Schizosaccharomyces pombe: one gene and its partner. Each later gene encodes a partner of the first gene's protein in a complex. Each region holds a gene or a part of one and is shown in the gene's direction. Other genes may lie near its edges.

Region 1 (4,197 bases):
CATTCTGCATATACAGCTGTACAGCTGTTTTCAGTAGATTATTTGGAATCAAAATATAATTACAACTCAATGAACTGGTTGCAGTAATTTTAATTAAGGCATGTGTAAATAATATGTAAACTATCTGAAGAATGTGAATCTGGCATTTCAAAAATTTAAAAATCCGTTTGTTTATGCGAACTTGACTTTATAGATTAGGAGGAGTATTTTGTAATTTTTTTCCTTTTTTACAATCGTTTGGTATTCATGAAAGAATCGTATATCTCGCCATAGCAATTTATGAAAGGCATTCTGAATGGCAAAAACTGTTGAATATTGAACCGTTTTGTTATTATTATTATTGCTATTTATTTTATTCTCAAAATGGTAAAAAAATAAGAGAGATTGAAGGAAATACTGGTGAGGATAACGTAATGTTTAGAAGCGTTACAGCAAGATGATTGTGTTTCAAGTCAACTTTCCAACTTCAAATATGAGCGCTACAAGTAGAGAAGGAAATAAGACAAAGATAGGAATAGTAGGAGGTAATTTTGGAGAACAACAGTTTCATAAATGATGAGTGAGCATGCTGACGATGATTTTTAGGTGGCATTATTGGAATTTGTACGGCGTTTTACTTAACAGAAGAACAAGAATACAAAAAAGGAGAATTGGACATATTTATATTTGAATCAAAAGAAATAGCAGGAGGTAGCTCCGGCATTGATTCTGCAATCTTGACAAAACTGTGCCAGAATGAAATCATACAGCCACTTTCAACTCTCGCTTTGAAGCTTTATGAAGGATTGGATAAAAAATTTGATGGGAAGAAAAACTGGGAATATAGGACTGCCAATTCTTGGTTTTGTAAGATGAAATGGGACAATACCAATGTTGCCAAAGTTCCCGATACTTTGCAATGGCTTCAACGAGAGCGCATGCAAAAATGTAAGCTCATAAGTGCTACCAAAAAAAAATAATAACTTTATTGTATAAGTCATATAGAGACTAACCATTTAGGTTCTAGTATCGGTTCCGGCAACGATTTTGCAATGATCAATCCAAAATTGTTTTGTCAATTTATGGCAAAAGAAATAGAAAAACGAGGAGTAAAGTTTATATTTGGAAGTGTGAAAGAGGTTAGTAAACACCATATTACATACGTTCCAAAACAAGAAGCTGAAGATACAATAATAAAAGCACAGGTGCATAAAACGCTGGTGAGTGCTGGGCCTTGGACTGGTTATCTATTACCATTTACTGGTATTGCAGGTCTATGCATTCCCATAATTCACCTATCGGTAGGAAATTTTCCCGTTGGCGACAGCATTGTTGTGTGTTGTTTAAATACCATGGGTAATCTAAACATTTGCAAAACAACCGAAATTTTCAGTAAAAACCGGGAGCAGCTTATTTTTATGGGAACTCCAAAATTCCATTTGCTGCCAAAAGATAGTAATCGATGTTTTTTTAATCCTTTTGAAATTATCGAATTGAAAGAAATGACCGATTTGGTGCTCTCGGAGAATACGAAGAGTAACTACTTAGACGCATCTTTTAAGTTCCTTCCTACCAGTAGAATAACAGGTATCCCGATAATATCAACAACCAAGTCTGGTGTATTTGTTGCAGCGGGTCACGCCAACTGGGGGATAACTCAAGCTCCTGCCACGGGTTTATGTATGGCAGAAATGCTCCTTGGCAAGGAAAAAACAAGCATAAACACAGATCCTTTTCACTTAAATCTCGGTGAATGAGGATTTCAAATTATATCCTCTAATTTTTGTTTTAATTGTTTGTCAAAAAAAACGAAGGACTCATTCACTGAAAGGTGAAAATATAGAAGCAGAATGGATGCTTATTCCTTTACCGAAATAGAATATTACAGTGTTGTAAAATTTTCTAATCATATTTATTAAGGTTTTCGTTTTTATCGCATTGGAAAATCGATTTTCTTTTTTTTTGTTTTACAATTTCCATCTCGACTTAGTATACCATTCGTTACCTCTAAGTTGATTGTTACTTGAGAACACTTGCTCGTGTTTTTACAATTCTGCTATACGCCAACAACAGTAAGACACTAACATTCCTCACAAAATGTCTTCTTATCGGGGATCAACTCGACCCAGAAAGAGGACGAGAGAGGGAGAGAATTATGGATTTCGTCCCCATAGAGGAAACTCTCAAGAGCTACTTGCAGCGCGTATAAAAAAGGATATTACCTTTTTGGCGGATCCTCGAGGAAATTCAGTAGCTGCTGATGACATTAATTATGTTGCTATGTCTCTTAGTCGTGAAGCTAATGATCCTGAAACCATTTCAACTATCTTAGATTGCATTCAGACAACGTAAGTGATAATTTATACTGTCCCTTCAGAAAACTAATTTAATCCTTAGTGCATTTATCATTCCAGTCAAAATACCTCATTTGGCTACATTAATTATAAGAGCCTCATTAAGGGTTCCTTTAATCTTAGAAAAAGCAGCTGCGTATTTTTGTTTACAGTATTTTACGAATTTAAACTCCTTTCTTTATTACGAGGCTAAAGTCGATCTACGAATGCTCATTTGCATGTCATTTGCACTTCAACCAGGTACCCTTAAGCCACTATTTTCATTACTGGCTGACGCTATCTCAAAAGAAACCAAACCCAGTGTCTGGGGAGATAATTTCCTGCGCATAATTTTGATAAACCTTCCATATTTCATCGCAGCTAACAACGATCTCGGTAAAAAGGATTTTGCTAATGAGATACTGGATCAATGTGAGATTTACGTTCGTCATAGGAAATCTTCGATAACTCTAAGTAATCCCCTTTCAATACATGACAATCTTTCAGAGGAGGAATTGGACTTACTCTATAAACAACTAATTCTATCTCGGGAAAACGACTTTACTTTTCCTTATATATCTCAACCCTGGAAGTTTTTTGAATCTGATTTCGTTCATATTGTTCCGGTTAGCCCAAGTATTCCTGAATGGACGTTTCAGCCCACTCCTCAGCAAAATGAGCTACCTTCCTTCAAGAGATTTTTTGAGCTTTTTAATAACTTTGAAATTCGCACGACTCCTGACGCTTCCGACGTTGCAGCCAGCATATTTCGTGATATAAGTGTGGATGTTATAAACCATTTGGAATTTAACCGAGTTGAGGCTGCTCAAGTTCTTACAGATTTAGATGTTTATTTTACCTACAAAACTTTTGCTCTTCGTGGTACTCCAGTAAATGAATTACCAAATTTAGATCCATCGGAATCACGTTGGAAAGCAGAAGATATCATAGTTGAAGCTGTTTTGGGTGAGCTTCTTGGTTCACAGAATACTACGTATAAACCTGTCTATTATCATTCGCTTTTGATTGAATGCTGCCGTATCGCTCCTAAAATTTTGGCTCCAACTTTTGGAAGGGTCATTCGGCTAATGTATACCATGTCTTCTGATTTACCTTTACAAACACTTGATCGATTTATTGACTGGTTTTCACATCACCTTAGTAATTTCAACTTTCACTGGAAGTGGAATGAGTGGATTCCTGACGTTGAGCTGGACGATCTTCATCCAAAAAAAGTTTTTATGCGGGAAACTATTACTAGGGAACTTATTTTAAGCTATTACACAAGAATTTCTGACTCACTCCCTGAAGAGTTACGTTGTTTGCTTGGCGAACAACCGTCGGGTCCCAATTTCGTGTACGAAAATGAGACTCATCCGCTATATCAACAGTCAAGTCAAATTATCGAAGCATTGAGATTACATAAACCGTTAGAAGAACTTGACATTATTTTGCAGAGCGAGGAGATTCAAAACTCCGAGACATCTGCTGTCCGATTAGTTATGTCTTGTGCTTATAGCTTGGGTTCGAGATCGTTTTCGCACGCATTGAACGTGTTCGAGAAACATCTTAATACATTGAAACATTTTTCTCGAAAATCATTAGATTCCGAAATAGAGGTTGTTGATGAACTTTTTTCATTTTGGAAATTACAACCGTTCAACGCAGTTATGTGGCTAGATAAAATGCTGAACTACTCTATAATTAGTATTACCTCTATTATTGAGTGGTTGATCAAGCAAGACGTGACTATATGGTCTCGTAGTTATACGTGGTCACTTGTTAACACCACTTTTAATAAATTAGCAGCTAGATTGCGGCGTTCGGTTTCTAACAAAGAAGACTCTTCGCTAATCAATGAAGCGAATGAGGAAAAGGAAATTGT
Region 2 (3,913 bases), on another chromosome or scaffold:
ATAAATGAAAAATCATCTGGTCTACGAACAGATACATAATCAGATGAATCAAAAAGTTCAGAGCTACCTTCGGATATAACAAATGAGGTACTTAAATCGTTTGCAAGTGCTGCTTCGCCTAATAGTTTAGTAATCCAATGAACATTTCTACGATGATTTTCCGCATCAGCATCGTCCTCTTTTTTAGTTAAAATTAATCTAATTTGTTTCAAAACGTCTTGGGGTATCATTGCATTTGCTGGCATTACCGGGCAAACGCTAAAAACATCTCCTCCTCGGGTCAGAATATAAATTGTAAATACCCCCCACCCTTGAGAAACATTGCTAAAGCAAAAAGCGGTCGGTATATGCAAATCTACATCGGCATCAAATGAATTGGAAGCCTGATGCGTCAATTTAAGAGGAATCTCATAATCGGGCATTAACACTCCATTTCCAGCCTCATAAAGCAAGAGTGAAGTTTCAGTTAATACAACCAAAGATCTTCCGGACTTCCCCAGTGGGTGAAATCGAACGGAGACAATTTGAGAAGAAGGATTAATAACTGCAACCGAACAAATGGTAACCTCCGATAATTTTAATGAGTTAGTCCCGTTTTCCTGGTGTTCTGAATTTGAAAAATTGTTAACAGATTCACCAAAGTTTGAAACGGACTCTGCAAGTGGATTTTGTTCAGATAACTTTGATCTCAAACCCAGTATAACAATTTTTGATTTTCCTACCACTGCTAGAAATCGGCCATTTTTACTAAGGCAAATCTGTTCAATCATAAAGTCTAATTCTGGATTAAAAAGTTTTTTGTAAAAATTCTTATGAGATGCTTCATTTTTATGTTTTAAGAGTCGACAATCCAAGCTTCTGACTTCTTGCCCCACAGCAACGTACAGAAACGACTCAAACGCGCAAAGATGCTTGGGAAAAATTTCCCAATCCTCAGGAATAGGTTTAATCCATCGTAGGGCAGGATGCTTTTCCAAAATGTCTGTCCATGATACCTCTTGAGACATGATGGTTGATGCCATTTTGTTAGTCTTCTGCGAGTATTAAATAAGGAGGAAGAATGCGTCGCTAAATAAATGTAAAAAGTAATACATGTGTACTTTGAATATTAGAATATACCATAATTATTTGTACCTAGCTTGTTATAGGTAAATTAAAAGAACCAGATCTTTGGAGCCTTTTCCTCTTTCTAGCGAAATGCAGCATATGGTGTAATAGTGCTTGAATGCTACTTCTTTTAAAAACATTTAAATGATTTTAGTTTGCGAATAACAGGTATACAAATTCTATACATCAATTACATTATAAGCATTAAGTTTCCTAATATTTAACAGTTTTACTTCATTTAAGATAAAGCAATAAGTTAGCTAGCATAGTTCATTCAAAAAAGCGATTTCCTTAATTCAAATTCTCTTAAAGAACAAATGTAATTTTAAAACCAATTATTATAAGGGTTGGAATTAGCTACATTTACACGATGATTTTTTTACTTTGTAAATGCATAGTACACTATAAAGTTAGACTTCAACCTACAACCACTGCCTAGGAAAAATGGCATCAATAACAAGGTTAGATGCTGTTTCTCCGTATCTCATACGGAGGTTTAAAAACGATTTACGTGCTTTAGATGCTGTGAAACAAAGTAACTGTGTTTATGTTGGCAACCTTTCATTCTATACCACCGAGGAGCAAATTTATGCTTTATTTTCCAAATGTGGTGAGATTCGACGAATTATCATGGGCGTAGATAGATTTACAAAGGTAAGTTTTCATAAAATTCTGTTTATTTGCTCTTCAAGTTCATTACTTTCAAAGTTGTCTTGGAATGCAATCATAGATGCCCGACTTGTACTAATCAAATATTACCAGACACCATGTGGGTTTTGTTTTGTTGAATATTTTGAAAATCAAGATGCTTTAGATAGCTTAAAATACATTTCAAGAACATCATTGGATGAAAGAATTATTCGTGCAGATTTGGATCATGGTTACGAAGAAGGTCGTCAATATGGCAGAGGTGCATCCGGAGGCCAAGTCAGAGATGAAATGCGGGAAGAATTTGATCCTGGACGTGGTGGTATGTAGTCGGATTCTAAAAGAAGCGATATTTAATCAATACAGTCTCTGCAAACTTAATAACATACTAACTTGACTTTAGGATATGCAAAAAATAGGCAACCAACCAGCTCTAGACAGCTTGCAAACTATTCTGGAATTTCTTCTGCTCCTTTAGGATCTTCTCTAGAACTTCAAAGTAATCCAAGATACAATCGTTGGAAAAAAAATTAAAAAGTTAGTTATATAATTCGGACTTTAACGAGGTATTGGAAGATTCACAGGCACTTCTTACTATTTATTCCGGAATTTTTAGAGTTGGTCCATTTTAAAATGCTTTACAAAGAAATCTGTAAGACCAGCTTGCGATATATTTTTTTGGCATAAGACTTATTTCATTATACAAACCAATATTCAAGTTACAAATGATTTAATTAAACTATGCAGTATCTATTTTTTACCGGGATATATTAGTTTAATCATATCTTCATTCGACCTGAATTTTTCACTGAGAGACTCATGCCTAAGACCTCTTTCAATTTCTGCATTTCGAATTACCTTCCAATCTTTCCAGTGAATTACAGGTGTTTTAATGTTCTTTTTTAAGCCATCCCATCCTAGCTTACTATTTTTGAGAAATTCCTTTTTGGATTTCCAATCCTTAGTTATTGTATCCGCTGTAGCAAATGCATCCATCATGGTCGTAGCAATGACTCCAATTGGCCCATGTTTCACCCATCCACTAGTGTAAATGCCAGGACGAACAAATCCGTTAACATTTTTTACAATTCCTTTTGCATCGTCGAATGGAACGCCAACGTCTTTCATTCCAGGCAAGGGCATACTTTTATACCCTATACTTCGGATAAACAACTGTGCGGGTATGGTTGTAAATTTTGACTCAGCATCTGTTCTTATGCTATCTGTAATCTGAAAGCGAACATTTTCAACATTTCCCTTATGTCCTAGAATCTCAACAGGTGTTAAGCCAAATTCCAAATTCCAACATTTCTTGTCTTTTGAATAAGGGGCTACTCGTTTCTCTGAAACAGCTTTCTGGATTTCGGAAACTAATAGCTTTAACAATCTCTTTCTAGGTCTATCCAAACCGCTTGCATCTGTTTCATTCATCCACTTTGTAGAATAATTAAAGGAAGGAGCAAAGAAAACTGCACTTGATAGGGCAAACAGTTCTCTCAATTCTTTGATAGTAAACGAGACAGAAAATATGTTTCTTCTTCCTACAATGTGTAATCTTTTTAAATTGCTTCTTTCAAGTGATTTGAGGAACAATGGATTAATGTCAGTTGGGGATAATTGAGCAGGATTACTTAAAAGGATTCGAGCTACATCAAGTGAAACATTACCATGTCCAATAACTACTGCATCCTCTACCTGACTTAAATCCAACTCAAGATTTTGATTTCTGGGATCACTGTTATACCAACCCACCACTTCTCGCGCACTATAAACACCTGACAAGTCCTCCCCTGGAATTCCCAGTCTCTTGTCCCCAGCAGCTCCATAGGCAAGGACCAAACAATCATAATTTTTAGTCAAATCCCGTAAAGAAACATCAGTCCCAACGTTTACGTTACCAAGGAAGCGAAATTGTGTAGACTCAGCAATTTCGGAAAACTTGTGTTCTACATGCTACAATAGAGGTTAGCTGTATAATAAATTTAATAAGATCCATTTTTAAACCAATCAATATTTCTTGGCTTAACAGACTTACCTTAACTTCTGGATGATCTGGGGCAACTCCATAACGTACAAGCCCAAATGGAACTGGGCGGGATTCAAACATATCTATTTTGACATTTGGGTCATTTCGTAAGAGTCTGTGGGCTGTGTAAAA

What was found. Proteins that work in one complex are often made in the same cells at the same time.
Region 2: cbc1 (region 1) and cbc2 share a complex: the UniProt entries of both Schizosaccharomyces pombe proteins name them as parts of the nuclear cap-binding complex.

The regions. Positions count from the first base shown.
Region 1 is NC_003424.3:3,226,457-3,230,653, forward strand, and holds the start of cbc1 (nuclear cap-binding complex large subunit), read left to right. Parts: upstream 1-2,053; 5' UTR 2,054-2,076; coding exon 2,077-2,327; exon of another isoform or gene 2,328-2,376; coding exon 2,377-4,197. Other genes in the region: tda3 (FAD-dependent amino acid oxidase), read left to right, coding at 473-524, 586-927, 1,000-1,736. UniProt on the Schizosaccharomyces pombe protein: Component of the CBC complex, which binds cotranscriptionally to the 5'-cap of pre-mRNAs and is involved in maturation, export and degradation of nuclear mRNAs.
Region 2 is NC_003423.3:3,397,712-3,401,624, reverse strand, and holds cbc2 (nuclear cap-binding complex large subunit), read left to right. Parts: upstream 1-1,526; 5' UTR 1,527-1,551; coding exon 1,552-1,761; exon of another isoform or gene 1,762-1,869; coding exon 1,870-2,077; exon of another isoform or gene 2,078-2,158; coding exon 2,159-2,289; 3' UTR 2,290-2,505; coding exon of another isoform or gene 2,506-3,708; 3' UTR 3,709-3,731; downstream 3,732-3,913. Other genes in the region: nucleoporin, WD repeat Nup82, read right to left, coding at 1-1,007; mitochondrial [2Fe-2S] cluster assembly NADPH-ferredoxin reductase Arh1, read right to left, coding at 2,506-3,708, 3,791-3,913. UniProt on the Schizosaccharomyces pombe protein: Component of the CBC complex, which binds co-transcriptionally to the 5' cap of pre-mRNAs and is involved in maturation, export and degradation of nuclear mRNAs.